3 linked regions of the Neurospora crassa OR74A genome follow. The protein of the gene in region 1 interacts with the protein of each later gene in a biochemical or structural test. Links are inferred from orthologs where the notes say so. Each region holds a gene or a part of one and is shown in the gene's direction. Other genes may lie near its edges.

The links.
Region 2: the proteins of NCU03947 (region 1) and NCU03112 form a complex in vitro, tested with the Saccharomyces cerevisiae proteins (2 studies listed by BioGRID, with this or other methods). The link is inferred for Neurospora crassa OR74A from reciprocal best matches to the Saccharomyces cerevisiae genes RSP5 and MCR1.
Region 3: of the proteins of NCU03947 (region 1) and NCU00687, one has a biochemical effect on the other in vitro, tested with the Saccharomyces cerevisiae proteins (2 studies listed by BioGRID). The link is inferred for Neurospora crassa OR74A from reciprocal best matches to the Saccharomyces cerevisiae genes RSP5 and PAL1.

Annotation. Positions count from the first base shown.
Region 1 is NC_026506.1:2,205,909-2,209,659, forward strand, and holds the start of NCU03947 (ubiquitin ligase), read left to right. Parts: upstream 1-1,165; 5' UTR 1,166-2,000; coding exon 2,001-2,032; intron 2,033-2,148; coding exon 2,149-2,171; intron 2,172-2,235; coding exon 2,236-2,274; intron 2,275-2,356; coding exon 2,357-2,462; intron 2,463-2,522; coding exon 2,523-2,656; intron 2,657-2,732; coding exon 2,733-3,751. UniProt on the Saccharomyces cerevisiae protein: E3 ubiquitin-protein ligase which accepts ubiquitin from an E2 ubiquitin-conjugating enzyme in the form of a thioester and then directly transfers the ubiquitin to targeted substrates.
Region 2 is NC_026501.1:4,598,889-4,602,639, reverse strand, and holds NCU03112 (NADH-cytochrome b5 reductase 2), read left to right. Parts: upstream 1-1,241; 5' UTR 1,242-1,578; coding exon 1,579-1,638; intron 1,639-1,902; coding exon 1,903-2,305; intron 2,306-2,371; coding exon 2,372-2,940; 3' UTR 2,941-3,372; downstream 3,373-3,751. Other genes in the region: NCU03113 (SH3 domain-containing protein), read left to right, coding at 1-435; NCU03111 (hypothetical protein), read left to right, coding at 3,546-3,587, 3,665-3,751.
Region 3 is NC_026501.1:7,550,896-7,554,561, reverse strand, and holds the start of NCU00687 (hypothetical protein), read left to right. Parts: upstream 1-743; 5' UTR 744-2,568; coding exon 2,569-2,596; intron 2,597-3,046; coding exon 3,047-3,300; intron 3,301-3,417; coding exon 3,418-3,666. UniProt on the Saccharomyces cerevisiae protein: Involved in the early step of endocytosis.

The DNA of each region.
Region 1 (3,751 bases):
CAATGATGACAGCCACTAGTGTAGTGTACAAACCTAGTGTACATATGATGGGTACCTCTATGCTTCCATGAACTCCCCATCGTCAAAAGCACCTCAACAAAAAAAGAAACCTCAATTGAAAATCCAGAGATGCAGTAACGCCCCGCAGTTCCGTCGCACGCGAGGGGTATCAAAATGGAAATGACGGGCGTTTATGTCGGTGATGCGCTATTGTTGGAACAGCAGCGTCTCGGTCGGCGGCAACGGGGGTACACTACATGTACTGGGATACGCTAAGTAGCGACCTAACGCCTTTTTGCACCCCGTGCGGTGTATCGTCGTTATGGGATGTAGAGGTGCTGTGCGTTGAATTGTCAAGGTTGAGGTTTGAAGTGTTCACTTTCCTAATTGACTGCCTCTGGAGGTTTCTTCAAAGTTCGGTAGTGGCTTGATATCTGGTAGATCTGCGCAAGATCATCATCATCCCCGATCGTTGGGCTACCTCTTGTGTAGAGTTTTTGGAACAGACAGCTTCTACTACAATCTTGGCGTTTCCTGGAGAGACCTCGGAGCTTGGGGCGGTCGGTGGAGGTGCTTTCCTACCCCTAGTCATGGAAAGGCATTCAGGCCAGCATAGCTACCTATTCTAATTCTCTGTGTCGATGACTGAGCCGTGATCCATGGGATATTTTCCTGACAGGGCATCAACTCCTAAGAAAAGACACGGGACTATGTGATCCATGTACACCAAGGTTGCTCTTTGTGTGCCAATGATGTTGTTGATGTTGATCTCGAGATCTGGATGCCGTGCCAAGCATGGAGTGAATGTGGCCCCCTGGGAGTCTGGGACTCGAATGACCCGACCAACTGCTTAAGAGAAGAAGTCAAGTACCGCACTGTGCGCACCTTCCGCTTCAGTTCTCGCTCTTTGCAGGCTTCTGCTAACTAGTTCCTGGCCTAAAAGTAGTCACTCGTTAATGCGATACCTGAGCTACTAACTGAAAAGTTAAGCTTCTCGCACAGAGCATGCTAGGCCAGCCATACTTTCCCGTTAATGCTGTTGAACCATTATGTCTTGTCACCTCCCCCTGTCTCTTCACCAATGCTAGATCCAACTTGGACTGTCAATTTCTTGGCTTGGGTCGTTGCACCATTGCACCTTTGCAACATCGCAAGACGTCCAGGTTTCTCGGTCGTTTTCCCTCCCATCCTTTGGCTCATCCGTCGGTTGCAACTTAGTGAAGGTCATTGAGCTCTTCACCTGGACCTTCTTGGGGTTGGTCCGTCGAACCCAAGCTCACCCACCCGCCACTTCCAGCAGCTTCACCGCGACAAAACAACGACAGCATTCAACCTCGACACTACTAACTAAAGGTACCCTTACCAGACGAACCTAGACATCCGAGCGAGTTTACACTACCTGCTGGTTGATCCACAGAAGTGGTTTCCTAAGTATCAGACCTGCCTTGCCGACCTTGCTAGTACAGAGATTACTTAGTATTACCAAGCCACAGCCGTCCAACCTTGGCCTCTTGGATTGCTTGGCCTTTCCTTGCAGTTCGCCTTCCGCCGCCGTGACTACCTGACAGCGTAAGATACCCAAAGCGGGGGGGCCGGCTGGCCACACACGCACGAGTTACCAAGAGCAGCACAGCCTCACCACCTACGGGCGCTCAAGAGTCCCTCTAGCTTCCATCTACCACCTACTGCCACCTACAGAATTTCATCCACCCTGCCGCATCCATTCCGTTGCCAGTGACTGCGCGTTCTCGTCAACGTCAGTGTCCATCGCAAGGAGAGTTGGCCCTTTTGTAACAATCATTCAGCCTGCTTGTACCATCGTCGACTTGTCCTCCTTTCATCCCCGCCCCGCCTGCATTCAGCCGCGAGTCCTCGATCCCAAACGAGCGAGAGCGACCGACTACCCGACCCGATTGCGACCAGCCTCTGCTTGGTCCAAGAAACGAGACGAAAACTTAAAGCCCCGCGTGCGAGTTTGTTGACGCGCTCCATCTGCAACAATGACCAGCAGCCGGGACTCGGGGCTGCCGGCGTAAGTTCTCCCACGACTGGACTCTCCATCTACCCATCTTGTCTGCTTTGCGTCGCCCTCAGGGACCGCGGATTATAAGCGAGAGAACAGCCAGCTAACAACCACCACGATTAAAGCCAGCCCAATCTCCGCGTAACAAGTACTCAGCCCCTTTGCGACGAATGTGTCCGATGACCAACCGGTGTACTAACATGCCCCTCTAGTCATCGCCGCCGATGGTCTATACAAGCGAGATGTCTTCAGTATGTTTCTCCCCGTGGCCAGGTGTCATGCATCTTCTAAGCCACTTCCAGGTGGCATATGCTAACCGCATCATCATCATAGGGTTTCCCGACCCGTTCGCCGTCGCTACCATTAACGGTGAGCAGACAAAGACCACCCAGGTCTCCAAGCGTACCCTAAACCCATACTGGAACGAACACTTTGATTTGTAGGTTCGACCTTAACTCAGATTTGACAGCCCAAGGGCCAGCTGGCTAATACAACGTAGCAAAGTGAATGAGGACAGCATTCTGGCTGTCCAGGTGTTCGACCAAAAGAAGTTCAAAAAGAAGGACCAAGGTTTCCTCGGTGTCATCAATGTCCGGATAGGGGACGTAATAGAATTGGCTCCCGATGCGGAAGGTAAGGTTTCACTGCAATTCACATGTGTTTGCAGGTTGACAGCGCGATTTGGGACTGACATGCACCACACCCACAGATCAGATGCTCACGCGGGACCTTAAGAAATCGACCGACAACCTTGTGGTGCACGGCAAACTGATCATAAACCTATCTACTAACCTCACAGCAACTATGAGTCGCCTCGGTCCCCCTCCATCTTCGAGCAGACCATCACTACTCACCCCTCAAAGTTCGGTTATTTCTAACGACAGAGCGAACGAACGTCCTTCATCAGCCATGTCCGGACCTAATGGAACCGCCAATAACATGACTTTGGCAAGCCGACCCGCCAGCCTGGCTGTTTCGTCGTCGTCGACAGCCCCGACCCCCGGGACAAATGGAACAGCCCCAACGAACCCGTCGACCCTCGTTCCGGCGCAAGCCAGGCACCATAGCACGCTTAGCCCCTTCGAAGATTCAATGGGAAGATTGCCAGCTGGCTGGGAACGTCGCGAGGATCATTTGGGGAGGACATATTATGTTGATCATAATTCACGGACCACGAGCTGGAATCGGCCAACTGGCACAGGGGCGGCCGAAAACCGTACCGCCGAAGCCAATACTCAAGTCGAGCGTCAACGGCATCAGAACAGAACACTTCCCGAGGACCGCACTGGCGCCAATTCCCCCACCCTACAGCAGCAGCAAGCTGCCGCCACCGCCAATGCTGCCACTATGATGCATACCGGGGCGACAACCCCCGGAACCGGTGAATTACCTGCTGGTTGGGAGCAGAGGTTTACCCCAGAAGGAAGGCCGTACTTTGTCGACCACAACACGCGCACTACTACCTGGGTCGACCCTCGACGCCAGCAGTACATTCGCATGTACGGTGGCCAGAACAACACGAACGGGACCATTCAACAACAGCCGGTGTCCCAGCTCGGTCCCCTGCCTAGTGGTTGGGAGATGCGGCTCACCAACACGGCTCGCGTCTACTTCGTGGATCACAATACCAAGACAACGACCTGGGATGATCCTCGTCTGCCTTCGTCGCTCGACCAGAACGTACCGCAGTACAAGAGAGACTTCAGGAGGAAGCTCATCTATTTCCGT
Region 2 (3,751 bases), on another chromosome or scaffold:
AATACCAATGGGTATGGACACAGCCACTCTGGGTCCGATTACAAGTACCATCAGCCGGTCGTATCAACCTTCTCAACGTCAAGCAAGGACCTCGATCCCTATCCGCAACACCTTTTGGGAACACAGGCTGGCCAAGCTCCACCGCAGGTCGTCCACTATCATGGACAACGGGGTGGCAGTCAAGCGAACACGCCCACGAACTTATTTCATGATGCCGGTTTGATGCGCCGCGGCAGTCAGGACACTGTCGGCAGAAACGAGAGGAGGGGTAGTGAGCAAGGGACGTTGCAGACCTTGCTTGGCGCGAGGCTGGAAAAGACAGCGAAAGAAGCTGCAATAGAAAACCAGAGTATCAGCGAAGAGGCTGAGCCGGAGGTCGCGATGGATCTCAAGCCACAAAAGACAGGGGAAGCGGCAGCGGAAGCGGACAGGTGATGAAGGTGGAATGTGCAGGGGTGGTGGTGATGATGATTGCTATATGCGACACGACGCAATGTCCTGCTGAAAACTGAGGCTGAAAGCGGGCTCAGTCATTTAAAGCGAAGGGAGTATAAGGCTGGAGAGGGAGCGGTGATAATGATCGAATAATCCCCATGTAATGGACGATAGGGAGACTCAGGCTACTGACATGAGCATACTTTATCAGGGAGCGATGTAGAACGGAACATTGCGACTTAATGACGTCCACTTTCTTGCATACTCATCCATCATTCCTGTTCTCGCTCTCTTTGCGCTTTCGTTGGGAGTTTGCATTCTTCTTCTTCCTGTTATTTTCCGTCACCATCTGAATTGGGTAGCAGCGCAATCGAGATAATCAAGGGCTGAGGAGGAGCTAGAAGGGGAGAGGCAGGAGTACGAGGAGCTAAAGTAAGCCGGGATATCACTTATTGTCCAAGCAGTTGTTCTGTGTACAGATTGCAGAGACTGACAGCGTGGTCTGGTCGAACAAAAGGAATTAATACGGTGCTACGGAAGCTATACGTAATGCACAACGCTCAAAAGTCATTCGTCATATTCCCTAGCCACTGCCTTTGGACTCTGAAATTGATGAGTGAGCCAAGGTGCTAGGAGCAGGCGTCAAATCAAGAATCAGTACACTGCATAAAGACTAGGACCTTACTAGTAGTAGCATGTTAATCGAGCCCACCCGAACTGCACCGATATCTCCGCATCCTTTTGTTGGCAGCCTGGGTGGTAAGTACGCAGTATACTGAGAAACCCACCCTGGATATGAGTACACAAAGTGTCAAGATGCGGATTCAGAATAGTAACGGTTGCGGAGTTGGTTGAAGCTGACAAACCCGTTTCTCTCGCCGGCGGGAAAGAATCCGATGACGGCTTTCAACATGAGACTTTCGATCACGCCTGGAGATCGCTGCATGACGTAAGCCCCACCCACCCGAATCAAGCTCCCCACGCTTCCGAACCCGCGATTGAAAAAGGTACGGGGACCCCAAAGGAGGGAGGAGTCAGTGCCTCTATGCATTGCACTGACTGCACTGGGCGTACCTGAACCTCGTCCGATCTTCCCCTCCTTCATCCAATTCCATTCTTGCTTTCCAGACACTGCATGTCAAAATGAGTCTGTTCGTTGCTAGCACCAGATCCGCCTTCCGGGCTGCCGCCCCCATCAAGAGGGTAAGCCACCCCATTCCTTCGTTCGGATTTACTGTTGCTCTGAGAAATGTTGCTGCGTCGAGGTACACAATCCTGCCGCCACGGGCAGTTCTGGTGGTCGTCGGACGCATATACGGCATCATGAATGCGCCTTGAGCAGAATTGGGGCAGACGCACGCGCAGCGCACCATGCGCGACAGCTTCGCGCATCACTTGACACATTGACTCTAAGCACAACCAGCAGCCGTTCTAGAAGTCATCGAACTAACTCCTTTCCTTTCACAGTCTTTCCAGACCCGCCGCTCCTATGCGACCGAGCCTTCCAAGGGTGGCAGCAGCAGCACCATCCTCCTCGGTGCTGCCGCTGTTGGTCTTGCCGGCGCCGGCGCCTACTTTTTCTCCGGCGCTGGTGCCGCCAAGAAGGCTGAGGCCAGCGTTAAGCAGGTGACCGAGAAGATCACCCCCGGCGAGATCAAGAAGGCCTTCGTCGGCGGCGACCAGGGATGGCTCAGCCTCAAGCTCGAGGAGGTTGAGCTGGTCAACCACAACACCAAGCGCCTGCGCTTCAGACTCCCTGAGGACGACATGGTGTCTGGCCTCCATGTTGCCAGCGCCATCCTCACCAAGTTCAAGCCTATCGATGCTGAGAAGGCTGTCCTCAGGCCTTACACTCCCATCAGCGACGAGAGTAAGTATTTTCGTATTGACTCATTGGTTTCCCACGATAGTACGTTGACTAACGTCCGAGCAACAGGTGCCCAGGGCTACATTGACCTCCTGGTCAAGAAGTACGAGGGTGGTCCCATGAGCACCTACCTCCATGACATGGCTCCCGGCCAGCGCCTCGACATCAAGGGCCCTCTTCCCAAGTACCCCTGGGAGGCTAACAAGCACAAGCACATCGCCCTCGTTGCTGGCGGCACCGGTATCACTCCCATGTACCAGCTCATCCGCGCCATCTTCAACAACCCCGATGACAAGACCAAGGTTACTCTCGTCTTCGGCAACGTTAGCGAGGAGGACGTTCTCCTCAAGCACGAGCTCGCCACCATCGAGAACCACTACCCCCAGCGCTTCCGCGCTTTCTACGTCCTCGACAACCCTCCCAAGGAGTGGGCCGGTAACAAGGGCTACATCAACAAGGACCTCCTCAAGACCGTCCTTCCTGAGCCCAAGAACGAGGATATCAAGATCTTCGTCTGCGGCCCACCCGGCATGATGAACTCCATCTCCGGCAACAAGAAGAGCCCCAGGGACCAGGGCGAGCTGACCGGTATCCTCAAGGAGCTCGGCTACTCTCCCGATCAGGTATACAAGTTCTAAGCGACTCAGGACTTGGATGCATCTTGTGTGTTATAATATTACCGTCTTATTTAGCTAGAATAGCGCGGCGTCACTTGAGTTTGCCAGTGTGGGATTGGCTTGGTCTACGATACTCGTGCTTGACGAGCACACGCAGCGCACATCCTGCTGCGTATAGATAGAGGATAATAAAAGGCAACAAAAAGGAAATTAAAAATAATGAAAAGAAAAACAAAAATTCGGACATGAGCTTGTCAAAGCGACAGGATCGGATCATGTCAAACTCTTGCTTTTCTGAAACGATGCTCAGTTTCAGTTGCAGTCGACATCCAAGTGAACACAAAGACTGCGATGGCATCCGTTGTGGCGGTGGTGCCGGCGTGGCTGATACCGACGTGGCTGACAGCCTGCCGGTCTGGTCATTCTGAAGGTGCACGTGGAGACGTGACAGCGTTTCTGCAATTGCCGGCCGGCAAGTTTAGAGCTCCAGCATTTCTTGGCTTGAGCTTCCAATTGATTTCCCATTCTCCATTCCCCGTCCCCCCCCCCGTCGTTCGCTCTAATTCCCACCGAACAAGCACCAAGGCAAAGCAGCTAAACAGGCCGTTTGGCCTGCGCCTGTAATAATGGCAGCGCTTTTGCCCTTCAAGGTGCCCCAAATCAGCGAGGTATGTTTCCTTTTGTTCCATGATTCCTGTGGTCGGCGATGGTCAGACATTGACACGTTACATCATCTATCTCGCAGGCTGATATGTTTGCTTTCCATGAAGCCCACTTCTCCAACCTGTCCACAGGCCACTTTGAGTCCCATTTCCTTCGTCCAAAGGACTCG
Region 3 (3,666 bases), on another chromosome or scaffold:
ATCTCGTCAAGATGGGGATCCCCAGTTTGGAAACGCCCTAACCTTATCCACGTGAAGCACAACTCGGTTTTATTGCTCAAGTGCTTCTTTTTCATTGCGACCGGCAGCGGTTGTGGGGCTGGCCACTCAGAGCTCGAGTTGACCATGACCGCTACCTCTAGGGATCTTGGGACCTGGGGTTCATACCGTCTCTTTCTTCCATGGAATACAACGACAACATTGAGTCGGACTGAGCACGACATTGTTCTTGCAGACGGACCGATGTCAACACGCAGATGTTACTCACGTGGCATTCATCAGACCATCCGAACGTCGTTTGGACAGACGGGCCGCCCATGTGAGAAAAGAACAGGACGGGAAAAATCAACAAGACAAAAGTGCCGCCAAAAAAAGCCCATCTTGCAGCTGGGCGTGCAGTGGTGTCGATGGCCTCCCGTCGATGGCCCGTCGATGGAACATTGCATTGATGGAGAAGCCAGGGCGAGATGGATCATGCAGGCCAAGCGTGGAGATGATCCCAAAGGGGTATAGCCGCCCAGGCAAAAGAAGCCACCACGGCACCTGGCATGAGAGCCCGGTGCGTCTTGGGGACAACGAATCTGGAGATATGCTTCAGTTGGGCATTTAGTCTCATATTAGCTGACATGAAAGATCAACCGGTTGCCGCCGTTCAGAGCGAAGTCCGAGTTGCACAGATCGTCATTTTCTCCAAAGCTGTGCCTGTTCAAAGTAGCTTCATCTTGCTTTTTTTTTTCTCTTCTCTTTTTTCCTCCACATCTGAAGAAGAGAAACCCATAATTCCCCGCAACAAACATCGTCACCACCCGCGCCGCCGTGGTCACCTGTCGCTCTTTGCGCAAAGTGACCTGTGACCATCCGTTTCTTTATATTGCCGTGATCTGTGTACCGCGCTGGCCGCGCTCAGCTAATACCTACTCGTGGTCTTGCACCAGAGGCGGCTTCTACATCACACTGGTTGTTTACTCTTTCCGTGATATCATTTCCATCCAGAAAACAAACAGGCAAGATAAGATACATTAAAGGGTGAAGCGAGACCCTTTGGCAATTCGGTTGGGGATTGCTCATTGCGCTCCCCTCGCCCATCCCCACCGCCTCCGCCTATCAAGTAACAGCCGGCACGGGAACCCTCGTCTGCCCACCCCAGGACTCTCCAAGAGAAGTCGGTCGATTCCCGTTGCAATCTCCTTTTCCGGATCGCTCGCGGTCACTCTGCCCGCATCTGCCCGCCGAAAGACGCTGCCACTGGCACTGGACACTACTGCTGGGAAGTCAAAGTCGACCTCGCCAGCACAATCCCTTCGCCTCGGTCCTCCCTTTTTCCTCTCCTTCTGTTCGCACTCCTCCGGACTGCTTGTCACAGGACATCCACACCAAGGATCGATATTCGCACTCCCTTTGTGCGTGATCGCGTCCACGGCCTGGCACCACCCCGTATACATCCCGCCGTACACAAATACAGGACCCTCCTTGCTACACCCACCTTACCATTACCCGCGACAGCGATCGATCCTGGCCGGTCGACGAGAAAGAAGCATTCCAAACTAATTACTCTTATTTTCGCTCCCTCTCTCCGTCATTCATCCCAAACACCACCACTACTCCCCAGCCCTGCGCCGCCGGCTCCAGATTCCGCTCAGCCTCGAGCCCAGCAAGTCTCGCACTCCCATCGTCTGTCACCTTGCAGTGTCAGCCGATCCGAAACCAAATACGCTTTTCGCAACCACGCCTCAAAGAAGAAGCCGACCGCCCACCCGTGTCACATCACTGGGACCGATTCGGAACCCCAGGGACGTCGGAAAACAACAGGGAGAAAGATAGACTTTTCAGCTTGAAAGGTGTCGCTAGGCCACGGCCACTTCGGCAACAGAACAGGAAGCGCGATCGAGCAGCAGCAATCGATTTGGAAAGCAGTGCTTGCATATTTGTAGTGAACCATCCTTCACGGCATTCCACTTCAAGAACCTGCGCAATCGGGTTCGATCGAGTTCAAGGTCGAGCGCCAATTAACAAACACACACACACCGGCTGTGGCAGCGTTGCGTTGCGTGGCAAAACACAGCCCTTCACGACTCATCATCCAGTCGGAACCCGCGGCCGTTGGCTGATTCAGGTTCCAAGGGACATCTGAGATCGACGTGTTGGCTGCCAGTTCTTTTTATACTTGGCCAGGGACAAACCATCCATCACCTCCTCCCGGCAATTCGTCCATTTTGCAAAGCCAAGTGCGCAACCCGAGCTTCTTATCTGGTATGACGCGAGCCCACGGCACGGCAACCCAGAACCGCAAGACACTTTAAAGACGTGTATCACAGACCGCGCGTCCGCATCCCGCAGCACGCATCCGGAAGCGATACGGCACCATACGGCACCTGCTCAGATAGCTCAGACCTACCTACCTACAAACCAGCGTTGGTGGCCACACAAACCGGGCAATCCAACAACCACCAGCATCAACACCAACCGAACGACGTGCACACCTCTGCATTCCAGCAACCCTCCCTCCCCCCCCCCCCCCCTCTTCCCCCAACCATCACAAGCTAGCCCACCATGGCTTTTTTCCAGTCGGAGCAGAATGGTGAGTATCTGGTTTCCTTTTATATCTTTCCACAGAGCACCCGACCCTGGGCGATCTGCTCCCCCTTCTACCCCTTTCCCAAACACATGGCCCCCCGTTTGCATGGCTTTGTTTAGCGGCCCCCTTCAATTGCAGCAGAATAAAAACGGCCGATCCACACCCATTGGCATGTTGTGAAGGTTGCCGCTTTTCCCACTTCCCGGTTTTTTTTTGTCCATCTCTGTTCCATTGGAGGGTCTCGGCTGGTCTCTTGGCTGTCCTAGGCGCTGCCTGGGTTATCAGTGCGCTCCGCTGTTGAGTCCGCTGTGTCATGTCGAGGAGATTGCCGTTTCATATCCCTATCACAAGCGTCACTTGCATGCATGGTGCCGCTGCCCCTAAACCCACCTTTTTCTTCCTTGATTGATGGCTTGCTGACGCTTTGGGTTTTCCCCCTGACCTGGGATTTAGATCAGCGGTCTGCTGCTGGCTTGTCGCTCAATTCAAACAATCCTTTTCGCAACCGTGACCGCGCCTCTCCCACCTCTTCAGGACCTCAAGTATCTCCATTCGACGATCCCCCTCCAAGGCCTACCTCGCGGAACCCTTTCCTCGATATTGGAGCTGCCAACAGCACTCGTCCGACTGCACAAACCAACCGATCAGTTTCCGACACAATGTCTGGCTTTGACAAGAGGTCGTCTGCCACGGCCGAGGACCTGTTTGTAGGTTGCCCCCAATCCTTCCACCTGCGGCTGTAACAAGTCACAAGGAACCCTCATTTGCGGGGTATCATGGAGCCAGATTGATGTCGTACCGATTGACTGACATTGACTTTGTAGGCTTCCATCACGCTCGATGACAGACCTTCTGGCTCAAAGCCACCCCCGCCGCCGGTCGCCCGCCGACCTGTCCCTCCCCCAGTAGCCAAGTCCAGAGGACCTCCTCCCGCTCATCGCCCCTCTCGCTCTCAAGAGGAAGACGTTCGCTCCAGGAAGCCTCGTGGAAACGGAGGTAGCGGCACACTCATCGACATCGACTCTCCCCCGCAGCAGCGAAGAACAGAGAGGCGTCCGCGCAGGAACTCGGAT